4 linked regions of the Elephas maximus indicus genome follow. The protein of the gene in region 3 interacts with the protein of the main gene of each other region in a pairwise test. Links are inferred from orthologs where the notes say so. Each region holds a gene or a part of one and is shown on either strand. Other genes may lie near its edges. The genes, in order: LENG1, PPP1R18, MID2 and CCDC42.

Region 1 (7,110 bases), on a different chromosome or scaffold from region 3:
GAATGGAGCCGAAGAGGAAGTCTCTTCTGGCCTCAGGTGGAGCTGGAGGAGGCAGTGGTGCGGCACCAGGCTGCAGCGCGGACCCTGGGTCAGCAAGCCAGGGTGTGGTTGGTGCGGGGGCTGCTCAACCTGCTGGTGATTGCGCTTCTGGGTGCAGCCCTCTATGGAATTTACTGGGCTACGGAGTACACCGTGGAGCTGCAGGTGCGAAAGGTCTTGGAGGTGAAGAGGTTGGAGGCCCTGGACCTGCCTGTCGAAGGGAGGAGGGGACTGAAGTCTAGGATTCCTGGAAACTTAGAAGAGGAGGGGTAGAGGGAGGGGGGAGGTTGGAACCAGATTTCGGGGGCCCGAATGAAGACGAAGCTGGAGGAGTATTTTAAGCATGGGTCTTATGGGCCACCCCCAGAAGCCCAGATAATCTTCCGTTGGTCCACCTTCTCTCCCAGGAGAATTCCTTTGTCCAGCAGACGCCACTACTAAAGCTGCTGGTGGATTACCTTCCACCCATCTTCATCTCCGTAGTCAACTTCGTGCTGCCACCTGTGTTCACGTTCATTGCCTCGCTGGAGGGCTACAGCCGAAGCCGCCAGATCATTTTTATCCTGCTCAGGTTCCAGCCTTCCAGGCTAGGGATTGGTGGTTGGGGAGCTGGCTGGAGGGATGTTGATTCTGAGAGACAAGACACAGAAATCCCGAAGACAGGGATCCAGGGAGATCTAGATTCATCCTGACTTTGTCACTGAGCCTCAATTTCTTCATCTCTGAAATGGGGAGAATCGTGAGCACGTTCCACGGAGGAGGATCTAGCAGGTGGTGAGTACTGGTCAATGCTAACTCCCTTCCTCCCTTCCCCTGCCAGGACTGTGATTCTCCGCCTTGTCTCTCTCCCGGTCCTGCTCATCTCTCTCTGGAATAAGATCACTTGCGGGGGCAATGCCGAGGCTGAGAATTGCAAAGCCTGTGGCTACAGTTACAAAGAACTTCCGGTAAGAAGGACAGGGAACCCAGACTCCTGGGTATGAGAGAGGAGGGGGCCCTGGACCTCCGGGTCTGAAGGAAGCGGGGCCTGGGGTCCCGGACTCTTAGGTCCTGAGGCAGAACGGGCCTGTGGCTGGAGATCCTAGGTCCCCGAAGGAAGAAGGAGCTGAGTGGGTCCAGAGAAGGGCTAGGGGGCTGGAACACCCCCCTGAGGACAGGGGTATGGATGTTTGAGAAAACTGGACGCCCACAGAGGAAATATTGATAGGATCTTATCGGCTTGCGATTTGGAAATCCGCATGCATGGGTCCTGAGGTCTTTCTAACCCGTTTTCTTCCTTCCTCAGTGCTGGGAGACCCGGCTGGGGCAGGAGATGTACAAACTCCTGCTTTTTGATCTGCTGACCGGCTTGGCAGTCACGCTACTCATCCAGTTTCCTCGAAAGTGAGAGCCTTTTCGCGGTGGCTCCGCCCCTAATAGAATAAGCCCCGCCCCACCATCTTTTTTCTATAGCTACGACCCTGACGGCTTGGTTTCCTGGGCCTGAGTCCTCAGGTCCCGCCCCCTCCAATTCCGCCCCTAAGGCCGTCTGGCGGGCGTTGTCCCCAGCCCCTGTCCTCTAAACACACCTCTTCGCTCCCTCCACGTGGGATATTGAAAGCTCCGCCCTCCCTTGGATATGCTCTCTTCCGATTGGTGGGCGGGACGGGTGAGGTGGAGAAACCCCGGGCCGACACGCCCCTGACTCGGCCCGGCCCCGCCTCTCAGGCTGCTCTGTGGCTTCTGTCCCGGGGCGCTGGGTCGTGTGGCCGGTACCCTGGAGTTCCAGGTGCCCGGCGAGGTGCTGGAGCTGATCTACGCGCAGACAGTGGTCTGGGTGGGGAGTTTTTTCTGCCCTTTACTGCCCCTGCTCAACACGGCCAAGTTCCTGCTACTTTTCTATCTGAAAAAGGTGCGGAGTGGGGAAGACGCGGGGTTCTGAGCGGAGAGGTATTGGGGACCTGGACTACTGGGGTCAGGGAGATGAAGGGACTGAGGGACATTGCTCCGAGGTTCTGGAGGACGAGGGGGCTGAGGACCCAGACTATCAGGTCTTGAGGAGGAGTTGGGGGCCTGGACTCCTGGGTCCGAGGGAGGAGGGGGCTTGGATCCCTGACTCCTGGGTCCAAGGGATGAGGGAACTGGGGGCCAGGACTTCAGGGTCTGAGGGAGGAGGCCATAGGGGCCCGGAGTCCTGGGTCTGAGGGATGAGGGGGGTGGGGGCCCAGAGTCTTGGATCTGAGGCAGGAGGGGCTTGGGGTCCGGAGTCCTGGGTCTGCGAAAGGAGGGGGCTGGGGACTGGACTCCTGGTTGTGATGGGGGTAGGGAGGTGGGGACCTGGATTCCTGGATGTGTTGGGGGAAAGGGGACTGGGGACTGGACTTCTGGGTCCTGAATGAAGAGGGGTCAGGACTCCTGGGTCTGAGGGAGGAGGGGCTGGGGCTCAGACTCAGTGTCACAAGTCTCCTCCTTCCCCGCCTTCCTTCATCAGTTCTACCTTTTCTCCACCTGCTCCCCGGCTTCCCGCACCTTCCGGGCCTCCGTGGCGAATTTTTTTTTCTCCCTGATCCTCCTCCTGGCTCTGGCCGTCTCCGCTGTTCCCGTGCTTTATAGCATCTTCCTGTAAGTGTGAGAGGAGTCCGCCTCTCGATCCCTCCCTCCACCCTCATCCAGGACTCTGACTCCTGGCCCTACTTAACTCTACCCATCTCTGACTTCAGGATCCCGCCCTCCAAGCTGTGTGGTCCATTCCAGGGACAGCCATCCATCTGGGCCCAGATCCCTGAGTCTATTTATGGCCTCCCTCGGGCCGCTCAGAACTTTCTCTTCTTCCTGGGGACCCAGGCCTTTGCTGTGCCCCTTCTGCTGTTCTCCAGGTGAGGGGGCCCGGATTCCTGGGTTGTAAGTTTGTGTGTGATTTGAGGGCCATGCCACCTGCATCCGAGGGAGGAGGAGACTCAAACTCCTGAGTCTGCTGGAGGAAGAAGCTGGGGGCCTAGACTCCCGGTCTGAGTGAGGAGAGGGCTGGGGGCCTGGACTACTGGGTCCAAGGGAAGAGGAGCTGAGGCCCTAGATCCCTGGTGTCTACGGAGCCAGACACTGAAGACATTCTAAGAGTGTTTTGGATGTGGCTTCTATTCCTTGTCTCCTGCAGCATCCTCATGGCATATACAGTGTCCGTGGCCAACTCATATGGGCGCCTCATCTCTGAGCTCAAGCGCCAGATAGAGACGGTGAGGCAGGCTGGGTACCTGGGAAAGCTCCTGGAGAATATGGAAAGGGACATGAGGGAGGGAAGATGTGTCTCACTTCCACCTGTTTTTACTCAAGGAGGCGCAGAATAAAGTCTTCCTGGCACAGCGCGTTGTGGCGCTGAGCTCGGCCAATGGGGCTCTGTGACTTGCGCAGCCTGGCTCAGAATGAAGTAACCACGTTCGGGTTCCAGATCTGCCCCCAGGCTTTGTGTCATACCCTTTGTAAGCCTCGACTATTCACATCTGTAAAATGGGAGTACTGGAGAAGACTGCACTCTTCCAGCCTAGGATTTGGAGAATTCTGGCCGTCAAGTCCCTGACTCTATTGAAATTTTTCTTTTATCAATAAATACAACTGGAAGCTGCTGGTGGTGCAATGGTTAAGTGCTTGCCTGCTAATGAAAGATCAGTGGTTCAAACTCATCAGCCACTCCTCTGGAGAAAAATGTGGCAGTCTGCTTCTGTAAAGATTAAAAAAAAAAATTAGAGCCTTGGAAACCTTATGGGGCAGTTCTACTCTGTCCTATAGGGTCACTATGAGTCAGAATCAACTTGACATTAACGGGTTTTGGTTTTTGGCTTGAAGGCTGCTGAGCGCTCTTTGAAACCTGTTTTCTCAAACCGGGCCAGGGCTTCATCCTAGGATGAGCCAATCAAATGTATTGGAATTTGTGATGGTGTTACACGCTTTTCCGCGAGACGACTTGACAGGCATGAGAGCCAATCGTCGGCGGCTTCTGCAGCGCCTGGGGCGGGGCCATCCATGATTGACTCAAAACCCTGATAAGAGGTAGTCACTAGGCGCTACCACGCGCGGATTCGAGGTGATGGGTGGTGGACGACTCAGCCAATCACCTCTCGCTACAGACCTACAGGGGGCGTGCTGATTAGCCCGAGACCAATCTGAGGCCGAGGTTGGGACAACCGGGGGAGCACAGCCTCGCCAATCGGAAGTGCCAGGAGGCGGGTCTGACAGTCCGAGGACGGTTACAGCGCCATGAATATCTTGCCCAAGAAGAGCTGGCATGTCAGAAACAAGGATAATGTGGCGCGCGTGCGGCGCGACGAGGCCCAGGCCCGGGAGGAGGAGAAGGAGCGGGAGCGGAGGGCGCTGCTCGCTCAGCAAGAGGTAAGCCTGAGTCTGAACGGGCGGGTTCCAGGGGCCGAGCCCGGAAGTGGAGTGGCGCGCAGTCGCAGTGCGCCCCTTGTGTAATCTGGGCTCAGGCTCTGGTCTTGCTCGTTGGGGACGTGTCTCTCGCAGAGCTGCTCAATTCTCCTGTGCCTACCTCCACGAAGCCTCCCCTGACCCCACCCTCGTCTCGGCTTCCTCCACGCTTGCGTTCCAAGTGTCCAGAGTAGTGCCTGGCACAGAGTAGATATGCGCTGAATGAATATAATGAGCCTTTGCGAGGTCGAAAGGAACTGTGATCGCTTTTAGTTTCCTGCACAACCTGTAGGGTCGCTATGAATCCGAATTGAGTGGACGGCAACGGGTTGGTTTTTTTGCACAACCTTCACATTTATTGGGCACCTGAAGTGCCCTTGTGGCTAACGGTTTAGTGATTGGCTGCTAACCGAAAAGCTTGCAGTTCGAGCCCACCAGCGGCTGCGTGGGAGAAAGACTTGGCGATCTGTTTTGGTAAAAATTCCAAAACCAAAAAACCCGTTGCCACTGAGTCGATTCCGACTGATAGCGACCCTATAGGACAGAGTAGAAACTGTCTTACAGAGTTTCTCAGGCTGTAATCTTTACAGGAGCAGACTGCCTATCTTTCCTGCAGAGTTATTGGTGGGTTCAAACTGCCCACCTTTTGGTTAGCAACTGAGTGCTTAACCACTGCACCACCAGGGCTCCTTTCTGTAAAGATCAAAGCCTATGGGGCAGTTCTACTCTGTCACATGGGTTCACCATGAGTCGGAATCGACTCAATGGCTACTGGACGCCAAGTAACAACGACCTCTGCTTGGTATATACCTGTGTCGCTTACCTGATCCTCAGCTAACAACGTTGGTATATACCTGTGTCGCTTACCTGATCCTCAGCACTGGCTGGAAGTGGTACCCTGGGCTCTTTCCTTATTCACATGTATCAGCAGAAGTTGTAAGTATGACTGGGGAAAGTGACTTGGGGCCATGCCTGAAATTCAGATCATCTGTTCTAATACATTTGCCCTCATGGGGCAGTGGATAAGAGCTCAGCTGCTAACCAAAAAGACAGCAGCTCAAATCCACCAGCTGCTCCTTGGAAACCCTATGGGGCAATTCTACTCTGTCCCATAGGATCACTCTGAGTCAGAATTGACTTGATGGCAGTGGGTTTCATTTGGTTTTGGTCCTAATACAAAGAAGCGCTCTTGGTGCAGTGGTTAAAGTGCTTGGCTGCTAACCAAAAGTTCAACAGTTTGAACCTGCCAGCCGCTCCTTGAGAGAAAGATGTGGTGGTTCTACTCTGTCCTATAAGGTCGCTGTGAGTCGGAATTGCCTTGAGGGCACTGGGTTTTGTTTAGTGTTTTTGACCCTAATACAGGGTTTGGCTGCCTCTGTAGCTGTTTTGTTTCACTTGACTGGGAACCCCTCTGGTTTAGGCCAGGGATCCTCTTTCCAGCCAACCTTGATGACCCACGGATTACTATTTGAAAGGCAGCTTTTAAAACTCAGGCATTGCCTCACCCCAGGATGGGACAGGGGCCTCTTTGGGCTCCCAGTACCCCAGGACCATGGACTGTGATGCTCTGTGGTCTGCACCAGACTCTCAGCCCCTTGAGTCACCTCTGGGTTCTGAATGCCTACAATGCCCCTTTCCCCCAGGCCCGCACAGAATTCCTACGCAAGAAGGCCAGGCGCCAGAACTTGCAACCTGAGCTTGAAGCAGTAGAGGTGGGAGCCCCAAGTCCTGGCCCTGTGGACCTGTTTCGAGAGCTGCTAGAAGAAGGGAAAGGGGTGACCAGAAGCAATAAAGAGTATGAGGAGGAAAAACGACAGGAGAAGGTAAGCTGGCCTTGCCGATGGGGCTTGGGGGGGGCACTTGGGTGTGACCAACAGGAGTGTGCAGATATGGTGGGAATTAAATGAGTGAACTACATAATTTAGAACAGTACCGGACCAGCACCCAAGAAGTGCTGGCTATCGCTATCCAGGCACCCACAGGATTTGGCTAGTCACCCCAGCTATGGAGTCTGTGGGTAGTGCAAATGCTCAACTACTAGCTGAAAGGTTGGTGGTTCAAACCCACCCAGAGGTGCTTCAGAAGACAGGCCTGGTGATCTGCTTTCAAAAGATCACAGCCTTGAAAACCCTATGAAGTAGCTCTACTCTGCACGCATGGGGTCACTGAGTTGGAACTGACTTGAAGGCAATTAACAACAGCCTGGCTGTGGGGTTGCTAGGTGCAAACCGCTCAGGTCTCCAGCCTGAGGTCAAGACCCTACAGGGGCAAGGGAGAATGAAGAAAACCAAAGACACAAGGGAAAGACTAGTCCAAAGGACTAATGGACCACAACTACCACAGCCTCCACCAGACTGAGTCCAGCACAACTAGATGGTGCCTGGCTACCACCACCGAGTGGTCTGACAGGGATCACAGTAGAGGGTCCCAGACAGAGCTAGAGAAAAAGGTAGAACAAAATTCAGACTCTCAAAAAAGGACCAGACTTACTAGTTTGACAAAAGACTGGAGAAACCCCGAAGAGTATAGCCCCCGACACCCTTTTAACTCAATACTGAAGTCACTCCTAAGGTTCACTCTTCAGCCAAAGATCGGACAGGCCCATAAAATAATACAGGTAGCTCAACCATGTATACGAGACTACATGGGCACACCAGGGGTTAAGGACGAGAA
Region 2 (7,696 bases), on a different chromosome or scaffold from region 3:
TTCACAGTATGTGGAAAGGCAGTAAGTCAAGTTTATAATAATTTACAGAATAAACATTAATTTATTTTGTGGTAAAATGGTCACTAGCTTTTTCTCTTTTTTAGTCTAACAAGATGTAATATGTGATTCAGAGCTTTGGGTTCTCAGACAGTCTGCGTCAACAATCTTCCCGTTCTCTCACCGTTCACTATTAAACTGCTGAGGCTTGTTAGCTCTCATTCTGGTTATGTTTTTTAGTCAAGGCTAAATTAAAGAAAACGGGGTTTACAAGGTTCCATTTCCTTAAGAACCCTACAAGAGAGAAATTGTTAGCAAGAGCTGAGATTCAACCCACGACAGTGGCTGCCGAGCCGCTGCCCTTTAAACAGCTCACATGAAATTCTAACATTCCCTTCTGTGACGCCAAGATCGCAGGATCGAAAAAGGGACCCAAGCGCCGGCGCGGCCACCTGCTGGGCAAGCGCAGCCGGGCGGGCCGGAAGCCCGGGAGGCGGTGCGCGGGTGCCCCGCCCTCTGGGTGGGACCCCAGGCGGGGCCGGGGCGGGGCCAGCTGCCGCGGGAATCCCGGGGCCGCCCCCTTTCCTCGCCCCTCAGCTTCTCGCCATGGCCCCTGCGCTTCTCTTGGTTCCTGCTGCCCTCGCCTCTTTCATTCTAGCCTTTGGCACCGGAGTGGAATTCGTGCGCTTTACCTCCCTTCGGCCACTTCTTGGAGGGGTCTCGGAGGCTGGCCCCGGTGAGCGGGAGGGACCAGAGGATGACTCCGGGATAGGGGGGTGGAGCCGGAGAAGAGGGCGCGGGGGCGGGACTTGGAGACCAATGACAGATGGGAAGTCTTGGAGAGGGAACTCGAACCTTGGAAGCGCCGAATCGCGCCAGGGGAAGGGGACCTGCGGGCTAAATTAGGAACTCGGGGATAAGAGGTTTAGAATGGAGAGAGAGTGAGGACTGAGGGGGAGGGGAAGGGTGATAAGCAGAGTATTTTAAGGAAAGGGCTTTATGGGGAGGACTGTAGAGAAGAGTTTAAAAGAGGGACCATTTGGAGAACTGAAATGAAAGAGAGAATCCAAGGTGGCCTCTCCAGCCACGCCTTTTGTGACTGCCCAACGTTCTTTGTTCTGTGACTCCTCTTTCCCAGCTCTGGAGGATGCCTGGGGAAGAAGGAAGAAACGGGAAAGAAAAAGTGACATGGGCAAGCCTGGAGAGGAAGCATGAAGGCTCTTGGAGGCATTAAGGGACATGGCCTGGTGCTCTAAGAGCCTAGGATAAGGAGTGTTTCCTGCCATCTTCCTGATCTTTTCTCTGTTTCTCATCTCCCCCTAGATGTCCGGCAGGGATGGTTGGCTGCCCTGCAGGATCGCAGCATTCTTGTCTCCCTGGCATGGGATCTGGGGCTCCTGCTACTATTTGTGGGGCAGCACAGCCTCATGGCAACTGAGACAGTGAAGGCATGGTCGTCTCGGTACTTTGGGGTCCTGCAGCGGTCACTGTATGTGGCATGCACTGCCCTGGCCTTGCAGGTATGGGGGCCTGGCAGGCATATTCTCAAGGAGGACAGAATCTGTGGGAGGGACACCCTGGCGTGGAGGGGCATGGAGTTTAGGCTTCTGATAAAATTTGGATTTAGGAGGAGAGCTGAGGATGCTCAAGACTCTAATCTCAGCTTCTGTTCCTCCACAGCAAATATCTTACTCTTTATCAAGAAGGGTGTACTCATCACTGGCCAAGCACAGTATGTGCATTCTCACCTTTGCAACTTTGTTCATGTTTTCCCCCTGCCTGGGATCCCCTCCTTAACTCCACTCAGTCCTACCAGTTCTTCAAAACCCACACCCCTAAGCCTCAAGGGAAAGCTTCCCAGTGAGTGCTCCTTTGTCTTCTTATTGGGTGCTTGGTACTGGCTACTTCGTGTACCTGTCTGATCACCCTACCCATTCTGTAAGTCCTCAGGGTAGAGACAGGTCATCCTTATATTCTTGGAACCCCACCCAGCACGCTCCACGCGGTGGATGCTCATGATGGGGGTAGGGGAGAGCTGCAGATCAGCCTGGATGGGGCAGCCTCTGGGACTGGGTATCTCAGGGGTGGGCTGCGGGGATACTCAGCTCCTCATCCTTCCCCAGCTGGTGATGAGGTACTGGGAACCTGTACCCAGAGGTCCTGTGCTGTGGGAGGCTCGAGCTGAGCCATGGGCCACCTGGGTGCCCCTGCTCTGCTTTGTGCTCCACATCATTTCCTGGCTCCTTATCTTCAGCATCCTTCTCGTCTTTGACTACGCTGAGCTCATGGGCCTCAAACAGGTGAGGCTTCCAGATCCCTACCTGGGGCCTCCAGCCCTTTCTAGAACTCCTCTTCCCCTTCCAAGGATTTCAGTCCTCCCCCTCCAGTGCTCTACCACCTTCCCCTTGCTTGTGACTCCCTCACCTCCCTTTCCTGTCAGACAGTCTCCCCTCAGCCCTCCCTCAAAGCCTAGCAACCATGGGCCTCCTGGGCCTGGGGAAGATGCATGGACTAGATAGCCATGTCAGGAGCCCAGCTCTCTGAAGGGGAGTGCCTGGGCCTGAGTTCTAGGAGGAGGGTGCCTGGGAGAGAAAAGAGGAAGCCAAGTTATGAAAGGAAATCCTGGTGGCATAGTGGTTAAGTGCTAGTGCTGCTAACTAAAAGGTCGGCAGTTCGAATCTACCAGGTGCTCCTTGGAAACTCTATGGGGGCAGTTCTACTCTGTTCTATAGGGTCCCTATGAGTCGGAATCGACTCGATGGTAATTTTTTTTTTTTTTCGTTTTAAGTTGTCAAAAGGTCTTGGCTCTATTTCTACACTGTTCTCCCTGTCCTAGGTGTACTACCATGTTCTCGGGCTGGGGGAGCCACTGGCCCTGAAGTCCCCCCGGGCTCTGAGGCTCTTCTCCCATCTTCGCCACCCAGTGTGTGTGGAGCTGCTGACCATACTGTGGGTGGTGCCCACCCTGGGCACTGATCGCCTCCTCCTTGCTCTCCTCCTCACCCTCTACCTGGGCCTAGCTCATGGGCTGGACCAACATGACCTCCGCTACCTCCGGGCCCAGCTACAAAGAAAACTGCACCTGCTATCCCGTCCCCAGGATGGGGAGGCTGAATGAAGAGCTAACTTCTGGTTCCAAGCCCTGTACTTCCTCTTCCCCTCAAATTCTAAATCTGTCAACATCCAAGTGCTGGCTACTTCGGGCCAGAGGCCCCAAACTCTGAACTGCAGGGCCTGGTCCTTCCCCTACTTGAGACTCCATTTCCTGAGGTCAGCTCCATACCCTAAATTCAGAGTTTTAGTCATTGGACTCGAAGGTCCACTTCTCACCAGCTAGGGCCCTCTCCTCTCCCTAAAGAGGCTGGTGTGGAACTCATCTGTCCCCTCACCATTTGGGGATTGAGCTTGAGCGCCCCCTTCCAGCGCCTACACCACAAGGGAAAGGATCCGCCTTGACCACTCCCCTGGCACTGTTGCTCAGGGATCCCCCTTCTCCAAAGCTGGCTTCAGTCCCAAGGAACTGGATCAGAGTCTGCAAGTTTGACTGTACTGGGCGTCCCTCCAGGGCCCACGCCTCGAGGCTCCATCTCCAGCCCTTATTATCCTCTCCACCCGCCCTGTCTTTCCACCTTCCTAGGTCCCGCCACTGGTCACTTTCCCCTGGGCCTCGTTGAGGGGACTCTCCCGCTCTTGTTTTGGATAGCTTAGGGCTCCCTGCTTCCCCGAGGTACACGCGTTACAGGAAAATAAAATTTAGCCTGACTTTTCTACATCTGGCATGCAATCTTTAGTGTCTCTCAGGCTGCAGGAATGGGTTTGGGAAGGAAGGAGAGCGGGAAGCCGGCCGAGACAAACGCAGATCTGGGCGACCACTTCTCGCGGACCCGCCCCCACTTGCCCGGAGCTGCCGAGTTCCCCTTCCTTCACAACCCCAATTCTGTTGCAGACCAGGGGACTCATGGGAGAGGGGGCTGCTACTCTGGTTGGAGAGCGAGCTCCCAAAGCTGTTGGCCTGGTGCGCCTGTCCCGTCCTCCCCCCTCGCCCCGGGGCCCATTCGCATGGGCCCGGACAGCGGGGCAGCAGTAGCCCTCGACCCCTCAGTAACAAAGGCTGTCGGGGGAAGGCAAAGGCATGGGGAGGAGCGGCAGGAGATGGGAAGGGCGGGCCCGGCTCGAAGCAGCTGCAGCTTCCTCCTCAAGTCCCTCGAGGGGCCTGAGTCACTCACTAGCCGCCGCCGCCCTGGGTCGGAGAGCTAGGAGTGGGGGTCTGGTCACCTAGGCACTCAAGGGCCAGGGGGCGGAGGGATGAGGGCCTCTGGGGACAGGGCAGAGACTGTCGGGGGTTCTGACGCGAAGAAGGGAGTCCCGTAGCGGAACCCCAAGGCTGGGTCTAGGGTAGCGAGACTCCGCCCCCTCTTCAGGCTCCGCCCCTCGCCCCGGTCCCTCTCCCCATTGTCCTCAGACAAAGCGGTTGCCGCCCCCCGCCCGGCCCCCTGGTCCCTGTCTAGGTCCCTCCTTCTGGGCTCCCTTTTTCCCTCCTCCTATCCCTCCTTCTCCCCTCCCTCCCGTCTCCGGATCTCCCTCGCTCCCTCTCTCCTCCTCTTCCTCTCTCCGGACACCGGGCTCTCCTGCACCCCCTCCCCTGGGGCCCAGCGGCGCGTGAGTTGACCGAGGGGTTTCAGACTTGGGGAGGGATGTTCTCCTCGCTCTGGTCCCTGCTCCCTTCCCAGTGCCGGGCCTTGGGCTGTCTCTTCTTTGTGCCGAGATTGTGCAGTCAGAGCCGGGTAGGGGCGGCCGGCTAGGTGGGAGTTCCCTGAGAGCGGGGGACCGGGGCAGCGGACTCTCAGGCTCTGGGAAGAAGAGGCGTGGAGCCGATCCTCGGCAGGCCTGGGCCCCGGGGCGCAGCCAGTGGGGGAGGCAGGCGGTGGTGGCTGGACAGGGTGGGGGTGGATGCCTAGTTCTGGGAACATGCTGGCAGCCCAGACGCCCGGGTTCGGAGAGTCCCGGGGGAGGGTATTTCCCTTGACCCGCCTTGGGGGCGGAGTGCGGGGCAGGGAGGTGGGGGCTGGGGGACCGGAGGGGCGTGGCCGATTGACGCTGGAAGGGGAGCCAGGAGACTTAGGGCCGCGCTGAAGCGCGCCGGCCTCCTGCCGCGGCGCTCACTTTCCCCTCCACCCCTTCACTTCCCCTCTCCCCTAGACCCCTTCCCTCTCGGACCCCTCCTCACTTCCCCAAGACCCCCCCACCCCAGGTCCCTTCATCCTGTCCCCAGCGCTACTGTCTGACCTCCCTTCCCACTCTCAGCTCCCGTGGGGTAGCGGTGAGGCAGCCTCGCCTGAACCCGGCCCTCCCCTCCCCCCGCTTCGCTTTTCTCTCTTTCGCCCCCAGCTTCTCTTTTCTCCCTTCTCTCTCCCTGTCACATCCTTGGGACAGTAAGACTTCTTAACAATGTGGTGCCAAATCTGACTCCTCCCTCTTTGCCCTGAATCTGCACTCTTCCTTTTACCTCACTGCCCCCCCCCACCAACTTGGCTCTTATCTTTTCTCTTTATTTTCCCAGCTTTTCCCTTCCTCTGCCTCCTCTTCTCCCTCTTTTCCCCTGTCCTCACCTCAGCTCCTCTTCTCTGTCTCCCACCTCCTCCCTTCACTTCCTTTCCCCCCACACTCAGTCTCACCCCCTGAGCCTCTCTCACAAGCCTCTCCTTCCTGTCCTCTGCCCCCAGCACTCCACAGCCTCACCCCAAGGCGACTATGGCCACCATCCCAGACTGGAAGCTCCAGCTGCTAGCCCGGCGCCGGCAGGAGGAGGCAGCCATGCGTGGCCGGGAGAAGGCTGAGCAAGAGCGCCTATCCCAGATGCCAGCCTGGAAGCGGGGGCTCCTGGAGCGCCGCCGGGCCAAGCTTGGGCTGTCCCTTGGGGAGCCTAGCCCTGTGCCCTGGACTGCGGAGGCTGGACCTCCAGACGCAGACGAGTCTGCTGTCCTCCTGGAGGCCATCGGACCAGTGCACCAGAACCGATTCATCCGGCAGGAGCGACAGCAGCAGCAGCAGCAGCGGAGTGAAGAGCTGCTTGCTGAGAGAAGGCCCGGGCTGCTTGAGGCTCGGGAGCCAAGACCCAGCCCTGGGGAGACTCGGGATCAGAGCCCCAAGGGACGAGAGTCAAGAGAAGAGAGGCTCAGCCCTAGGGAGGCCAGAGAGAAGATGCTGGGGACACGGGGAGCCCGAGAGTCTAGCCCCAGACCTTTAGAGGCTCAGGACTGGAGGCCAAGTCCAAGAGAGATGGGAGATAGGAACTACCGACAGTCAGAGGCACGGAAATGGAGACTGAGCCCTGGAGAGACTCCAGAGAGGAGTCTAAGACTGGCAGAGCCTCAAGAACAAAGCCCCAGGAGGAAAGAGGTGGTGGAAAGTAGACTGAGCCCAGGGGAGTCTGGCAGCCAGCAGCTGGGCCTCACAGAGGCCCATAAATGGAGGCCTGACTGCGGAGAGTCTCAGGAACAGAGTTCGGCACAACTAGAGGCATCACAGTGGAGGCCGAGCTCAGGAGAGGAAAGCAAAGACTTCTCGGGAGAATGTGGGAAAAAAGAAGACAGGCCAATTCCAGGGATGGTCCCAGAAGAGATTACAGGGCTATCAGAGACCCTAACAAGGGAGGCTCGAGACAGCAGCCCCGGAGGAGTGGAGGCAGCAGAGCAGAGGCCTGGCCTAGTGGAGGACGGTGAGAGGGGCTTGAGGCTGACAGAAGGGTGGAAGTGGACCCTGAACTCCGGGAAGGTTCAAGAATGGACACCCAGAGACACAGAGACACAAACTCAGAAACCAGAACCTTCAGAGTCCGCTGAGAAGCGCCTGGGGCCTCCTGGGGTAGAGCCTGGAGAAGGGGAGGCTGAGGAGGAGGAGACAGGGGCTCAGGGCAGGCCTCTGAGCATCCTGCAGAACCGCTGCTCTGTGCCCTCCCCCCTCCCACCAGAGGACGCTGGGACTGGAGGCCCTCGACAGCAGGAAGAGGAAGCAGTAGAACTCCGGCCCCCGCCACCAGCCCCTCTGTCTCCCCCACCCCTAGCCCCACCTGTCCCCCAGCCCCCTGGGGATCCCCTCATGAGCCGTCTGTTCTATGGGGTAAAGGCAGGGCCAGGGGTGGGGGGCCCCCGCCGCAGTGGACACACCTTCACAGTCAACCCCCGGCGGTCTGTGCCCCCTGCAACCCCGGCCACTCCTGCAGCCCCTTCCACAGCTGATGCTGCAGTCCTTGGGACCGGGAAGAAGCGGTACCCGACTGCCGAGGAGATCTTGGTTCTAGGGGGCTACCTCCGCCTCAGCCGCAGCTGCCTTGTCAAGGGGTCCCCGGAAAGGCAACACAAACAGGTAGGGGAGCAGCCAAGCCAGACTTCTTAGGAGCCCACTCGCCAGTTCTCTCTGGGCACCGGTCTTTTGTTCATTTTTATACTCCTGTATTCTTGTCTCCCTCTATTCTTTTTTAATTCCTGCCACCACCCTTCCTCCCTCTGCACACACACCCTTTCTTCTTGCTGCCTTCCTGTTCCATTCATCTCAGAGCCTGCCCAGCAATCAAGCACTGTCTCTGGGTGTGCTGTCCAGGGTGTGCCCAGGGTGTGCCCACGCTGTGCTTTCTCCCTTCCCTAGGGCTCTGAGTTCTCCCCATTTCTTTCTCTCCTTTCCTCTGAGTCTGTGACCCAGC
Region 3 (7,490 bases):
CGAGCTGATTCTGACTCATAGCTACCCTACAAGACAGAGTAGAACTGCCTCATAGGGTTTTCAAGGCTCTAATCTTTATGGAAGTAGACCACCACATCTTTCTCCCAGTGTAGTTGGTGGGTTCCGACCACCCACATTTTGGTTAGCAGCTGAGCTTTTAACCGTGGAGCCACCAGGCCGGTGACACAGAAGGAAAACATGGAGGATGTGGTGCCATGGAAACCAGACTCCAGGTGACCTGGTGCTGCTGGTTAGGAATGTATGGTCCACGGTAAGGTTTAGGGTTGGGCCTAAATACTAATTAAAGCTGCAGGAAAATATTTTACCAATGTAATACAGATAGCAAACGTACATTTTTATTGTAACAGACACAACAATTCAGACAAATTACAAAGTCGATAAAAGCATTACTAAATTGAGACTGTGTTGGCATCTCCTGTCTGAAGGGGAGATGGGAGGGTAGAGAGGGTTAGAAACTGGCAAACCGGTCATGAAAGGAGAGGCTGGAAGGAGGGAGCGGGCTGACTCATTAGGGGGAGAGTAAATGGGAGTATGTCCTAAGGTGTATATAAGCTTATATGTGACAGACTGACTTGATTTGTAAACTTTCACTTAAAGCACAATAAAAATTATATTTAAAAAAATTAGTAAAATATAGGTCAAAGGAGAATAAGAAGTACCAGAAGCTTGCTACCTCTCCATTCTGGGAACATATTTATTTTGAATCACTCTCTTAGGCAGCCTACATGGCCCATTCACAACTAGTTTTAAAACAATGTGCTATTGATGACTCCATGCCAAAAATGCTTTTCTTCTCACCATCCTGTTAAGAGCTTCTCAGTTAGAAAAGCCCTTGGTCATCCTCTTTGGATTTCAGACAACTAGCTGCTTCTTTTGAGAGCCGTCTGAAGGTTCCCTTTTGCAGAAGCAAGGATTCTCTTGTGCAACAAAATCACCCTTCTGTGATTTTTTCCCTTCTGAAACAGACTGGTCTCTGTGCTTCTCTCTGTAGAAAGTATCTGGAGCCGTCCCCCCACCCCCGACATTCTTAGCTGGAAAAAGTAGCCCATGAGCTGTCCCTTTCATACTGTAGGCCTGTGGTGTGGCAAGTCGGCCTCAGATTAATTCAATTAAACACCTCAAGCCGAAACTGTCAAAAGTCTTTTTTTCATGGGCCAGGTTTGTTAATACGATTAACATGTTGTATACAAAGGTAACCATTAAATAATTATAAACAAATAATTTCATCACATAATCCCAGCCGATTTTACATTGCCTGCCAGATACAAAACATTTACTTTAATAAATTTAGTCGGTAATTTACATAAAACATCTGAAAGTGAGGATATTTTTCAAAGCAGCTGCTTATGTGATGTGACTAGTAAAATCTCCCTACTCTCCACCCCTACCCACACACACTATTAGTCATTCTTTTGACTTAATATATTGAAGGCCTCTGTTAAAATTAAAATACCATCTACTAAGGGGGAAACAATGCAGCTATTAAGGTGTTAGGTTGAATTAGTTGACTGAATTCCTTAATTATTTAGTAAGGTCCTGTGTGAAAGGGATACGGAAGCAGGTAAATTTAGGGGAGGGAAAGGAAAGTTTCAAAGAATGGATTGCTGCCTGGGGACGACAGGGCGGGTAAGGCATCCAGGATAGATCTGTGGAAAGCCAGGGGCTATCTTGAAAGCACTGGAAGCTCAGGTCGAGGCCAGACTGCTAACAAGTGAGGGATAGGATGCTTTCTAAAAGACGATAAAGATCATTAGAAGGGAATCTCTCTACTCCCAGTTCTAGCTTTGTTCATGGGTGTTCATGATGAAAGCAGTTACTTCTTCCCATTTTAGAAAATTCTCCAGCTTTCTGTGGGAATCATACCCAGTGAGCTTCAATAAGAATTCTCAGAATTCTGACTCAAGTTTGGGTTCAACTTCTGTCTTGGAGAAGTACCTTTTTCTGATTTTTAAAAAATTAAAAAGCAATGCATGAAGAAATTCTCATTATAGAATATTCAAATAATTACAAAATATATAGAATTAAAACCAAAAGTCCCCTTCCACACGCATTCCAATTCTAGGGTCGCACCATTTACAGTATGCTGCCAGGTTCTTTTCTTTTTTTAAATAATTTATTTTATTTTTGTAGTTGTCGTTGAAAATATACACAGCAAAACACAGACCAACTCAACAATCTCTCCATGTACAATTCAGGGGCACTTATTTTCTTCAGGTTGTGCAAAGATTCTTACCCTTCTTTTCCAAGTTATTCCTCCATCATTGACATAAACTCACTGTCCCCTAAGCTTCCTATCTACCGGGTTATTTTCTATGTATTTTCCTGCATATGTATACATATATATGTGTGTGTGTATATATATATATTTTTAACATGGAGTCCGTGAGTGGTTCAAAAGGTTAGGTGCCTGACTGATAACAGAAAGTTTGGTGGTTCAAACCCACTGAGAGGTACCTCAGAAGAAAGGCCTGATGACTTGCTTCCAAAAGGTCACAGCCTTGAAAACCCTACAGAGCACCAGTAAAACTGAGTACAGAGTAACACATGGGGACATTATGAGTCCAAATGGACTCGATGGCAACTGGTTTGGTTTTGACTTTCTTATTTTACATGAATAGAATAACCTGTATTTGTTGTTCTGTATACTTCATTGTTTTTTAAAAAAAATTTTGAAAAGATAATACATGCACATCATAAAAATTTCAAACAATATAAAAGAGCATATACAATGTGAAGTATGTCACCCTCCTGTGCTTAACCCCCAGGCAAGCAATATAATCCATTTCTTAGAGTCTGTGCATATACAAGCAGATAGGGACAGATCCTCCCCCCTTTTTCACACAAGTGGTAGCAAACCATACACAGCTTTGCACCTTGCTTTTTTTCATTTAACAATATTTCATACATATTATAAATATATGTGTATAAATATATGTGTATGGAGCCCTGGAGGCACAGTGGTCAAAAGATCAGCTGCTAATGAAAAAGGTCAGCAGTTCAAATCCACTAGCCATCCCTTGAAAACCCTCTGGGGCAGTTCTACTCTGTCCTATAGGGTCACTACGAGTAGGAATCAAGTCAAGGGCAACTGTTTTTCTTTTTTTTTAATAAATCAAAATCGGCTCTAGGACAATTTTTTTTCTTTTTTGAATCTTTATGAGCAATGATCACCAGTTCTTTTCTCCCGCGGACCGGCTGGGTGGGTTCGCACTGAAAACCTTTGGGTTAGCAGCATTGCGCCACCAGGGCTCCATATACGAGGAAAGAAAAAAAAAAGAATCTTCGTATTATAATATATATATTGTAATATATATGTAATTATAATATATATATTGTAATATATATGTAATAATATAAACATAACCTTCTTCAGAAACGACAATATTTATTTATCCATCCCCTGTTAGGCTGCATCAGCTGACTTCTGACTTACTAACTTTTACTTCTCTTAGGGCTGGACTTTCATCAGGAGGATAGCTGGCTGTGATTTTCCCCTTGGTTTCCACCTTAGTGTTCTCTAGAACATTGTTTAACAGAGGTATTGGCTGATTACTATTGGTCCCTGACGGGATACACCCAGAGCTACCTTAACTTCTCTGGACTTGTTCCCATCCATGTACAGTAGTGGGAGGTCTATGTGTGTGGGGGTTGTTTCCTTCCATTTTCTCTCCCCCCCTTCTCATTCTTTTGTTCCTTCTTTTTTTTTTCTTTGTCATGTTAAGAGTCTCCTCTTCCTTTCCTCTCCTATCCATCCGGTGAGTGGGGGCAGCATCACTGAACCAACGACAGGTCAGCGGAGACTCTGACTGCAGACCAATGGGGTACTCCCAGGTTCCAGATGGACCAATCAGCTTATTAGGGACATCAAATACCTAGATAGCTGGCATCTGCCCCATTGTCCTCTGAGTAACGACCCTCTTGTGTTGATGGTCAAAGATTTGAAGGTGCAAAAGAAACTTTTTTTTTTCTTTTTCCTTTGGTGGCTTTAATCCATCTCCACAACTTCTGCCCAAGGCCAATAAAACACAGCCATTCTCCCTTTGTAAAAAGAAAGAGGGGTTGGGTTTCCTTCAATTGTCTGCTCCTTTCTGTCTCCTCCACTATTTTTGTTTTATGTACTTTGTAGTTAACTTTACATAGAGCAGCTTCATCCGTGGACCTGTGCGGTGGACCCCATACACTTTCTTCTCATTGCCCATTGCAACAGCCTTTTTGTTCTAACCTGGGGGGTGCTTGTGGGGCAGGGCGGGGGAGAGGGGGGGTGGTGGCGGGTGGGAGAAGAGTTTGGCTGTTGACTTCCTTTGGCATTCCTCACACATTCTGCTCTCTCTCTGTCTCTCTCTCTCCCTCTCACACACAGACAGACAGACAGACAGACACACACCACACACCATACACACACACACACACGCCCGCCCGGGCCCCTCTCGGTGTGTCTTCCTTCAAGATGACAGGGCGCTGGAGAAAAGGCCGCTGGAATCAGCTGGTAGGTACAGTAGTAACCCGAACCCCACCTACCCGCCGCCTTTGCTCGCTCAGGTTTCACCGGTCACTCCTACCTGGGGAGAAAACATATAAATGTGCCTCCAGAGGAGGGGCTGGGGGAGAAGGGAGCGGCGAAGGCGGCGGAAGGTGAGCCTGGGAAGGTGGCCGGGGCCCTGCTTGGTCCTCCCTCGGGGCGTTAGCCCCAGCCCTGTTTGCCCCCACCCACTCCCCTTTTCGAAGGGATTGCCTTTCTCTCTCTCTCTCTGCGGCGGCGGAAATGACAGTGTGGTGCTGCCGTGGTGTCATGGTGCTGCTCCTGGACTGAGAAGCGAAAACTCTTTAAGTTTGGCTCGAGAGATTCAGCCAAGGCAGCGTTGCAGCCGCCGTGCTGTCCCCTGCCGGGCGCGCGGGCAGGCGGATCCCGGCTGCTGCGCGGCGGCGGCGGCCAAAGCGAAGGCGGTGAAGGCGGGCGGCGGCCTAGAGCAGCGGCGGCGGCGGCCCGGGAGCTAGCGCCGGAGCCCGAGCGAGCGCTGCCGAGAGAAGCGAGCGGCCGGCGCCCTCCGTCGCGCCGCCTAGGAGATGGCTGGCACCCGGGAACGCTCTGGGTAAAACGTGCCCCCTAGCCACCGTCCCTGGGGCTGAGCGCCGCCGCCGGCGCAGGGCTCGGCCCGGGCTCCGGCCGCCCCTCAGGTGCCGCCGTGGCCGGGTCGGGCCAAGGGCTCTGGGGCTCGGTGGGGCGGGCTGATCGGGCCGAGAGGCTCGAGGCGGCGGCGGCTCCGGCCCAGCCCTGCCTCCTGGTTGCGACACTGGGACCCGGGCTCCTGCCACTGCCCTCCTGGGACGGGAGTTTGCACTCGGGTGCGGGGCGGGGGCGGCCGAGGCCTCCCGCGCAGCCCGGCTGAGTCGGCTCGGACAGTGGAGCGGCTTCCCCGGCGCCCGGGCGGGAGTCTGGGAAAGGGCACCGCCGCCTTCCCACGCTCCCGCTGCCGGCAGCCTCCTCCGCTCGGGCGGCGCCCCTTGGACGGCTGGCTGCCTGGCGGTGGCTGCCGCAGCAGCCGGGGATGCTGCGGACACCCTGCCGGCGGGAAGGCCAGGCGAAACTTAATCCTTTTTCTGCCAGGGGAGCGAGCAAGCGTCTAGTCTCCGTATGGATGGTTCATTCTTTATGGCCTAGCTGTGAGACCAGGTCTTTAGGGGAGAAGGAAAACTTACATATGTCCACAGGACAGGCTGAGACTGAATTGGAGAGAGGTGGGGTTCTTCCATTCCTGTCTCGTAAGAACTAATAACAGCGGAGTAGATTTACAGAAACATTATTTGTGATGATAAGGTTTAGGCTACTTAGCTTAGCACTTCGTGAGCGGCACATTAGTTTTCGGAGGCATTTCTTCCCAGAGCAGGAAATTGGGATCCTGGGGTCGCTTGGTTCTTCATTTTCCCTCTTCTACACTCCCCTACCTTCCTTCGAGCTCAGTCAGTCACCTTCTTACGTTGTCACACACCAATTTGTCCACCCAAATCTCTCAAATCCAGCGCCCCCCACCCCAGCCTTTCCACATCACCCTGTGCACTCAAGTAACCTCCCAGCCGTGCAGCCTCTTGTTTCTCAACCACTTTGTCTTTTTAAGGATCTCTGACGTGAGGGGTGGATGGTAATAGTTGTGTGCCTCTGAGGTTAAAATAAGAGTTGTTGTTAGTAGTCACTTAGTAGGTTCCCACTCATGGTGACCCCATGCATGTTAGAGTAGAACTATGCTCCATAGAGTTATCAAGGCTGTGACCTTTTGGAAGCAGATGGGCAGGCCTGGAACAGTCAAGTTTCTAGCTACTAGTTGAGAGCTTAACCGTTTGCGCCACCCAGTTGTTGTGGTGGTGTGCTGGGTACTCGATTCCAACTCATAGCCACCCCATGTGACAGAGTAAAACTACCCCATAGGGTTTTTCTAGGCTGTAATCTTTATGGGAGCAGATCATCAGGTCGTTCTCCCTCAGAGCCGCTGGGTGGGTTCGAACCACTAACCTTTCAGCTAGTGGCCTAGGGCTTAATGGTTTCACTACCAGGACTCCCAGAGGGGCCCTTAAAAAGGAATATATTGAAACTGTACATAAACAAGTGCTGTGTGTGGGTTGATTCTTTGGGTTCTCAAATTGAGCCATAAGGGCTGCCTTTAACCCCATTCTGTTCCCTCCCAGAACTGTAGTCAGTTCTCTGGCAATGTTCCAATAATAGTAGGAAGAATGCTGAGTGGGGAGCCCCCCTCTCTTTTCTTCTGTTTCGGGAGCAGTGTTGGGCGGTCCCAGCTGGTTAGCCCCCCCATCCCCTTTACATCGCCTCTCCTTGCACCGAGGGGGAACAGTCTTTGCCATTTTTATATAGATTGCTACCCAATCAATTGACTTAATACAGATATATAAAGTAAATTAGATTTCTCCTGATTACTCCACACAATTTGATTTATGTAGTTGAAATACAGGTCTAGGAGCCAAGAAGATCAGAGAGTTCATCCCAAATCTGATGTTGCATTGGCTTTTATGGCATCCCTGTGACCTTTCTTTCATAGTTGGTGCACTTATGTAAAAGGCATAATATTGTGTACAGAGTATTGTGAGTCTTGGCTGGGTCTTTTGAAGATGAAAGGGTTCTATAAACACTCAGCATTGTACTTTTCGAAGAAAGTACTCCATTTACCTTTTATTGGGATAGTGGCTAGACTGGGTATAAGTAGGAACCCCAGTTTACTGGAAACCATACCTTGGCATTATTAACGCCCTCTGGGAGACACACCTACTGTACTTAGGTCTGAAGTCTTTTTTTTTCCCAATGAGCATACAACTGAATGGAAACATACCTAAAGCTAGACATACAGAGTAATGCAGATTATTTTAAGACGTGGTTTGAATCATTTCTAATGTACTCTGACCCGACAATCTGAGTCAGACTCATTTGAAAACATAACCTCCCCCATTTTTAGCCTATATGGGGG
Region 4 (8,238 bases), on a different chromosome or scaffold from region 3:
AGGCACTAGAATCTAAGGCCTCTTTCCAGCACCCCTCCAGGGTGATCATCACTGCAGAGCCCCCAAAACCATTGTTGTCACGTCGATTCCAACTCATAGTGACCCTAAAGAACAGAGTAGAACTGCCCCATAGAGTTTGCAAGGAGCACCTAGTGCATTTGAACTGCTGACCTTTTGGTTGTCAGCTGTAGCACTTAACCACTACATCACCAGGGTTTCCCACAGAGCCCCCAGGAGCTCCTAAATCCCAGCTAGCTCAGGCTGAAATGCCACCCATAGCCCCACACTCTGGGGAAGGGGAGGTGCGGCTGAGGTGGGCACCAAGGCTCTTCCCCACTCGACCCCAGGACTCACCTCAGAGTTCTCTACCACCCTCTCCAGGTACTTGTTGAAGATGGAGTAGTCCTGCAGCTTGCAGCTCAGCCGCTGGTGCTCCAGCCGCAGAGCTGCCATCTCCTGCTTGGCCTTGGCCAACTCCCGCATGCGCTGCCTCTTGAGTTCTCGCTCCTTGTTGGCTTTCTTCAGGGCGCGGATCCGCTTCTGGTCATTCTCCTGGGGCCGGAGCAGGGGCACCAGTCAGAACTGCCAGTGGCTGGAGGGGCCCTCAGCCCCCTGGTGCCCTCGCAAGGCCGGTTGGCTGAGTTCTGGACACTCTGAGGATGGGCAGGGAAGGCTGGGCCGCCCACTGGGAGAGGAGGCACACAGGAAAAGGGTCTACAAACTTATCTGCAGCTAGTTGACGGGGTTTCTGTGGAGTGAGTTGGGGTTCAGAAGGCTGTGAGGGGGGAGGTTTAGACCCAAGTTAAGAGGTGGCCTTGGGAAATGATTCTGATTCTGTGGGAGGAGTTCCAGACTTCAGGGGGCCAAATGCGGAGGCCCACGTCTCAGTCTCTGGAGACAGCTCAACCCTGGGGAAGGGTGAGACGGCCCGGAAGTGGACTTTCCAGAAGCAAACCTTCTGACAAAGCTTCCCCTGTTTCTGTTCTTAGTGGTGGACGTTTGTCATGGGGTAAATTCCTGGGCCCATAGCTGGGAGGCCCGAATGTTCTCCCAACTTTGGTGCCTCAGTTTTTCCAACTATATAAATGAAAGGCAGTGGCCCTTCTTTTTCTTCCAAAAGCTGAGGTAGCAGCCCTTGAACTACAGGGAGATGAGGCAGACAATGGGCCTGGTCCAGGGGACCGGAGGGGATAAGGCATTCCAGGGAGCATGTTCCTAGGGGCTCAGACTGGCACCAGGCCAGGGCTGGAGAAGATGGCATAGGCAATTTGACACCCAAAATGACATGAGGCTCAGCTACTGCAATGTGTCCAGTCCTGCCTTCTCCTTCCTACGGCCAAACCCTCCCTCCAAGATGTAGGAGGCAAACCCACCCCTCTCCCAGCACTTGTGTGGCCCTTTCCTCCCTGGGGCCCTGTTGATTCCCCATGGGTGGCATGTGTGGTCCCAGCATTTGGATGGCATGAAGGAAGGTGCTCAGGGGTTTGTTCTCTGCTCCCTAAGCCCAGGAGAGGACAAGGGCCCTAAGCCAATGGTTTTCAAATCCGACTGTACATCTGTAACCCCTGGAGAGCTTGGTAAAAATACAGATGCCTGGGACTGACCTCACGCCTGCTGAAAGCAAGGAGAGAAGAGAGTCCAGGCGTCTGTAACAAACTCTCAGGGACCTCAGTGCTGCTGGTCCTCTAGTAGCCATCTGGAGGACCCCTCACCCCCAAATCTCCTGCTGCTCCAACCACTCCATGAGCTTTTTTCTGGTCAGTAAAAGGACTGGCCCCCAGTCAGCCAGCTTCTTTTCCTGTCTGGTTTAGGCACAAGCATGGTGGAAGATGCTTAAGAGTAGGCTCCTCTATGGCCAAGGGCAGCAACGAGCCCCTGGAGCTGGGCCAGGCCCTTAAGGGTTTGATAAGTGCTGGCTGGACTTTAAGATGACTAAATCCCTCCTCTAAGGACCCATTGAGAGGGGTTGTCTGGGAGTGAACTCTGGTGCCTGCTCCTCTGACCATTTCCTGTCTGGACCTTCAGTGCAAGGATGGGTCCTGTCTTATTCATCTTTGTATTCCCAAGGGCCCAGCCCTGATTCTGATATATTCATTCATTTGTTCATTCACTAGGTACTGGCAAGGAAACAGGAAACAGCAATCTAGAAGGGGCAGGTAAACAGGAAATTCCAAACAGAGCTGTAAATGAGGGATTGGAAGGGGGAAAGCATCAGGATTGCTGGAGTACAGCCAGCCATTGAACCCAGGGAGAGAAGGTCAGCAAAAGCTAGGGGGATGAGGAGGGAGGGAAGGCAGTTTGCTGGACAGCAGAGTGTGAGTCCCACTGGCTGCCACAGTAGGTCACACCGCTACCTACCTGGATGAATTGCTCAAACTTCTGGATGTGGGCCGTCAGCTGGGCCTCCTTGATGCCCAGCTCCTCCCAGCGCAGGTTCAAGGCCTCCATCCTGCGTTTAAATGTCTGCGGGTGGGGAAAGGAGAGTGGTCAAGAGGGCCTCAGACATGTGTACTGAGGAAGGTCCCAGCATCCCCTGCCCAGAACTGCTATTCCCATGCCCGGAAGGGTTCATAGGAGACCTCTCCCTCTCTGTCCCATGGCTGGCTTGGAGCAGAGCACCCCAGGACAACAATAGCACCAGAGACTCGGATCATTTTTCTTCTCCCCAGAGGGAAGAGACATGCACCCCAGCACCCTGTCCCCTTGGCCCACCTCCTTCTTCTGCTCCATAGCATGGTGCATGATCTTGGCCTCCTTTTTCTTCTCCAGCAGCCGGATGGATGGGGACTCCGACTGCTCCTCAGTGGAGGGGAACTTCCTGCCCAAGACACCGGCAAGAGGGGCCTGTGGGCTCTGGGTGCCTGAGGCAGGTTGGGGCTGGGCAGTAACCAGTGGAGAGAGATACCCATGGGGAGGGAAGGGGGTGTCTCCCCTACCTGAGTGAAAGGTCTGGGGTGTGGAGAAGAGAGAGGCGTGCTCATTTGGAGAGTGAGCTGAGGCAGGGTGATGGGGGGATTGGTGTCAGGGTGATCTGGAGCCCTGGGTTATAGGAGGAGGCGGGGACAGGCTGGGAGCAGGAAGGTGAGGCATAGGTCGGTGGTCTAAGGCACAGAGAGATGGGGCGGGCTCTCAGACACTCACTGCAGCAGTTGCAGCAGCCGCTCCCCATACTGCAGCCGGAAGTACTCGGCCAGATCTTCCTCTTCCATGATTCCCAGGCTCATGGCTGCGGTGCCCTCACGGCCCAGTCAGCTGGGTCCTCACAGTGAAATAGTGGGTGGCGGATCCCAAGGGGTGGTGGCTGGGCTCTGGTTTCTTCTCTTCTCCTGCTTTCAGAGTCCCACAGGGGCGGTAGGTATTTGAGAGACTCTGCCCAAGATAGCTGGAGACAGAATCCCTGGCTCAGATGATGTGTTGTGGGGGGTGATGTGAGGTTCTGGTTACCTAGCAACAGGCTGCTTGGTTCTGTGGACTACACGCAGAACTCGTGCTTAGCCCTCTGCCTCCTGGCCTCATGTTTGCTGGGGTCCTGCTCCTTACTCCTGCCCTTACCCCTCGGGAACTCTGGGAGGAAGTTAGGCCTCAGTAGGTACTGCCGTGGTGCCCAGGCCTGGGAGGCAGGGCCGGGGTGTCCTGGCTGAGAAATGGGATTGTCCTTTTGAGGGACCCCTGCTCCTAGGCCTCCCGCCCAGGTTCAGGTGAGCCTTTGACAGATAGCAAATAAGAAAGGAAAGAAGAAGAGGTGCTTAGCTGAGGTAGGGGTGAGGGTGGACAGAGAAACATGGGCCTTTGGGGATGTGCAGGAGAGGGGCTGGAGATTCCTGAAGGTGGGAGGAGGCCTGAGGTTGACAACTAGCTAGTGGGTGAAGGATGTGTGTGCGGTCTAGATGTGTGAGGCTATGCAAGAAGCCTGGGACTGAAGAGATATGGCCAACAAGGGTGTGGAGGAGGGGGCAAGAGATTCGGGACCAGTGCCTCATTTTGAAGTTCTTAGATTATTAAATTTTGGAGACATGTCGAAGCAGGGTTATGAATATTTCACACATCAAATGTTTTCTTTGTGATGGCTGCCTTCCTCGACCCTGTCAGGGTAAATGCATGCACTCATATGGCCGTGAGGCTCAGCGTCTAGATTTGAGACCCGGCGTGTGGGGCAGGCGCCCTGGGTCTCCGTGGCAGACCCCGGCTGGGAGGTTCAGGCCGGCCCTCCGCTGGCTCCTGCCCGCGGACAGGCTCCCAAGCTCCCTCGATGCTCTCGCGCGGCTTCCTCTGCCCCACGCGGGCCACGCGTCCTGGCTCTGCTCTCTGTCTGGAAGGGAAGCCCATGTGGGGTGGGGGTCTCGAACCCGTCGTGAAGGGAGCTCAGCAACCGCCCTCTCAGCGGCATTGCTGGTCCTCTGGCGCCCCCTGCTGGCCACCCGCCCGTGGGGAGGAAAAGACGTGCTGGAGGGGCGCTGCCCACCCCCCACCCTCCTCCTTTCCATCCTCCCCTCAACCTCCTCCCCAGAATAGACCGCTTAGTGGGGATTTCTGAGGCCAGAAGCACAAGCCCGGTCGCTTTCAGTCAGCCTGGCGGGCTCAGGAGAGACAGCAGGACAGCCCCCCTCCCACCCAGAACACCCACCCCCCACAAACCCCTAAACCAGAGATGGCTTCTCCACCCGGGGCGCCCTAGAGAGTCAGAACCAGTAGGGTAAGAGCAACGACGGCAATAAGAACCGTAAACTCTTTGAAGAGTACGTTTCTCTGATCGTTTGTCCCCAGAGCCTGGCACAATTCTGACCCATGAAGGTGCGCACTTAACATCTGAATAAATGATAGTAACAGAACTAACAGTACTAACCCCACTAATTGACTTAATTCTTAAAACAACCTCCTCAAGGTAGGTACTGTTATTATCTTCATCTCCATTTATGGATGAGAAGATGGATGCTCAGAGAGGTTAAGTACCTTGCCCACTGTCATCCCGCTCAGAAGGCATGTTGCTGGGTGAAGGCACCCAGGGTGTCAACCAAGGGCAAGCTGTTGGTGATGTGTAATATGTTAGATTTTGGGCACTGGGAACACAAGTGTTCATTACATTATTCTTTACACCTTTCCCTATGTCTCAAATATCTCATAATAAATTAAAAAAAAATCTTTGCATCTGCCCCCATGGTAGTTAGTTATTTTTGTCATACTCAAGATTTGCTGATTCTCCTCCAAACCTTGTTTTAACCAGTGTCTTTCTCTTTCTCTTGTGTATCTCCCTCAACATCCTCCCCTTCTCCTAGTTCCCTGAAACTTGATTGACACTCCACTTTCTCAACCTGACATCCATTCTTGCTAATAACTGTCTCTTGGTGGGTATTCCCTCATGTGCCTCTTTATTTCCTTGGTAACTCTGTAGTCTTAAAATATCTCGGTATATTTTATGTCACTTCATTTGCCACACAGAACCACAGAATTTTAAAGTTAGAACAACTTGAGATCGTTTATTTCAAATGTCTCCTTTATAGAAGAAAAAAAAATGGAGGCTTGAAGATTATGCTTCATCTGCAGACTAAGAAAAGCCACAATTAAAAATGAGGTGAACTTCAGGTTTCCCACAAGATTGCAGATCAGGGCTTCTGTCCCTGGAGATTCTGTAGAACTGAGAGAGGTGGATGGCTAACCAAACGGAACACAAAAACTGTGAGGAAACCCTAGGGAGGCAGAAAGTGGTGGGATGTGGTTGTGTGTGTGTGTGTGTGTGTGTGTGAGAAATGGCAGTCCAGAACAGAAGAGGGCTAAGTACCAGGGATGGTGGATAGCTCATGGCATTTTCTCTTCTGCACATTGCCCTGGGAAGCTCACTGTACAGCTTGCAGCATCATCCCAGTGACAACTTAGTGTCAGCCCAGAGTGGTGGGGTGAGGAGGGGGCAGCACTGGAGCAGACACAAATGCACTCAGGCTGGATAATCCTGAGTGGTCCCTCTTTCATGGGCAGGCAGTTGCAACAGAGGGAGGCAGCCCCTAGAAAAGAACCATGTCTGGGGGGAAGGTTCTGGAAGGTTTACAGAGGAACAGTATTGCCTGGTCAAGGGAGGCAAAACAGGAGTGGGTGATCTTGGACTGCAACACCAGAGGCTGTCTGAATACATACATATGCAGAACAGGGCAGGGAGGCCATTTAACATTCCAGGGACAGTTCAAGGTAGTTGGTAGAACGTAGTCTCAAGCACACATGAGCTCATGAGGAAAAACAATGAGATGTCTGAGGGGGGCAACCTTTATAAAAGATAACAGACTGAACAACCTGTCCAAAGGAAACAGAACCAACAGATCAATAGAATAAGAATTTAAAATAAACATAACAAATATCCTCAAAGAGATGAGGGAGGATGTTGGGAACATGAAGAGAAGCAAGCGTGAATGGAGAAGAACGAATTGAATGGAAAGCTGAGTGGACGACAGAACTCAATGGATGCTTTAAATGGCAGGATGGATACAATTAAAGAACAATTAATGAATAGAAGACCATCTTTAAGAACTCTTCCAGAAGGCTTCAGGAGGAGATAAAGAATAAAAGCTAAGGTCCAGAGGATTGAAATAAAAATGTCAAATCTAAATAATAATAGGAATTTCATAAGGAAAAACAAATGGAGGGTATGAAAGAGGAGACTTGAGATTGAAATTCTTATATCTAAGGAGACAAACAAAAAACACATCTAAATATATACAGTGAAATTTAAGAATATCAGAGATAAATAGAAAAGTATTTTAAATATGGTGTTTTAAACAGATAATCTATCCTCGTGGTTCAAAAATTCAAAGAAAGTGTGTACAGTGAAAAGCCTCATCACTATCCCTTCTTTCAACCACCCAGTTCTCACACCTTTCCCACGAATAACTGTTTTTATGCATTTTCTGGAGTTTCTTTATGCAAATGCAGGCAGATAGGAATATGTTCTTATTTTTTACTCTTTCTACACAAAAGAGCATACAAACAATGTTTTGCTCCTTATTTTTTTAACTTAATAATATATATTAGAGATCTTGCCATATCAATATATTAAAAGTCTCCTCATTCTTTTAATTGCATTATGTTCCATTATGTGGATATTCTGTAATTTAATTAATTGGTCTCTTATTGATGGATATTTCGGTTATTTCCAATTTTTTGCAGTATATAACCTTGTATACATATCATTTCACATATCATTTCACATATGGGCAGGATAAATTCCAAGAAGTGGGATTTCTGGATCAATCCATTTGTATTTCTTTTTCTATGAATTGTCTCTCTAACTTCCTTTGTCCACCAATCTACTAGGTTGGTTGGCTGTTTTCTTATAGATTTATAAGAGTTCATTATTTATTAGAAAGGAGTTGCAAATACTTTTCCCAGTTATTTTATTGGTCTTTTGACTTAAGGCGTTTTTTTTTTTTTTTTCTTGTAGAATTTTTTAATTTTTATGTAGTCAGATGCCTTAATCTTTTCTTTTATAGCATCTGGATTTTGAGTCATAGTTAGAGAAGGTTTCCATATCACAACATTATTAAGGAGTCTTCCCATGTTTTTTTCAAATCCCTTTAGGGTTTCGTGTTTTACATTTTTATTTTTGAGCTGTATGGTGTTTACCATAGTATGGATCAAACTTTTTTTTTCCCTCCCTTCTGATGACTGCCTAGCTGTCCCTAAGCCATTTATGGACTAGTGCTGCTTTTCCCCATGGACACTCTCTGTTCAGTTGACCTGTCTGTCCACACACCTTTACTACTGAGGCTTTACGTGTGTTTTTATATGTTTCAGGGATAGTCCTCTCTCAGTGTGCTTCTTTTCCAGAAGCTTCTTGGCTATTCTAGTTTATTTTCTCAGATCAACTTTAGGATCGGATTTTCTAGTTCCAAAGAACACAACTAACTAAACAATAAAACCCAGTTAGTATACTTACTGAGATTGCACTAAATGTATAGAGACAATTGACATCTTTGTGATGTCAAACCTACCTACAAAAAAAAGGTACTTTTTCATTTGCTCAACTCTTCTTTTTTATCCTTCAGTTTTCTTCACACAGTTGTCCCTCTGTGTCTGCAGGGAACTGATTCCAGAACTCTCCCCCCATACCCGCTGTGGATACCAAAATCTGGGGACGCTCAAGTCCTTTATATAAAATGGCAGAGTATTTGCACATAACCTACCCACATCCTCCCATATACTTTAAATCATCTCTAGATTACTTATAGTACCTAATACAATGTAAGTGCTACGTAA

The links.
Region 1: the proteins of MID2 (region 3) and LENG1 interact in binary tests that used the Homo sapiens proteins (3 or more experiments, as listed by UniProt). The two-hybrid records come from large-scale screens. The link is inferred for Elephas maximus indicus from reciprocal best matches to the Homo sapiens genes MID2 and LENG1.
Region 2: the proteins of MID2 (region 3) and PPP1R18 interact in binary tests that used the Homo sapiens proteins (3 or more experiments, as listed by UniProt). The two-hybrid records come from large-scale screens. The link is inferred for Elephas maximus indicus from reciprocal best matches to the Homo sapiens genes MID2 and PPP1R18.
Region 4: the proteins of MID2 (region 3) and CCDC42 interact in binary tests that used the Homo sapiens proteins (3 or more experiments, as listed by UniProt). The two-hybrid records come from large-scale screens. The link is inferred for Elephas maximus indicus from reciprocal best matches to the Homo sapiens genes MID2 and CCDC42.

The regions. Positions count from the first base shown.
Region 1 is NC_064829.1:92,904,486-92,911,595, forward strand, and holds the start of LENG1 (leukocyte receptor cluster member 1), read left to right. Parts: upstream 1-3,933; 5' UTR 3,934-4,269; coding exon 4,270-4,401; intron 4,402-6,080; coding exon 6,081-6,260; intron 6,261-7,110. Other genes in the region: TMC4 (transmembrane channel-like protein 4), read left to right, coding at 37-204, 447-610, 860-986, 1,325-1,422, 1,747-1,930, 2,510-2,640, 2,739-2,894, 3,173-3,251 and 1 more.
Region 2 is NC_064819.1:91,004,480-91,012,175, reverse strand, and holds the start of PPP1R18 (phostensin), read left to right. Parts: upstream 1-4,572; 5' UTR 4,573-4,656; intron 4,657-5,720; 5' UTR 5,721-5,748; coding exon 5,749-7,362; intron 7,363-7,696. Other genes in the region: NRM (nurim), read left to right, coding at 604-733, 1,321-1,517, 2,121-2,297, 2,834-3,115.
Region 3 is NC_064846.1:50,053,674-50,061,163, reverse strand, and holds the start of MID2 (probable E3 ubiquitin-protein ligase MID2), read left to right. Parts: upstream 1-4,301; 5' UTR 4,302-4,507; intron 4,508-4,579; exon of another isoform or gene 4,580-4,653; intron 4,654-4,681; exon of another isoform or gene 4,682-5,111; intron 5,112-7,490. UniProt on the Homo sapiens protein: E3 ubiquitin ligase that plays a role in microtubule stabilization. Mediates the 'Lys-48'-linked polyubiquitination of LRRK2 to drive its localization to microtubules and its proteasomal degradation in neurons.
Region 4 is NC_064837.1:11,978,123-11,986,360, reverse strand, and holds the start of CCDC42 (coiled-coil domain-containing protein 42), read right to left. Parts: upstream 3,225-8,238; coding exon 3,142-3,224; intron 2,819-3,141; coding exon 2,713-2,818; intron 2,464-2,712; coding exon 2,359-2,463; intron 553-2,358; coding exon 355-552; intron 1-354. UniProt on the Homo sapiens protein: Essential for male fertility. Required for sperm development.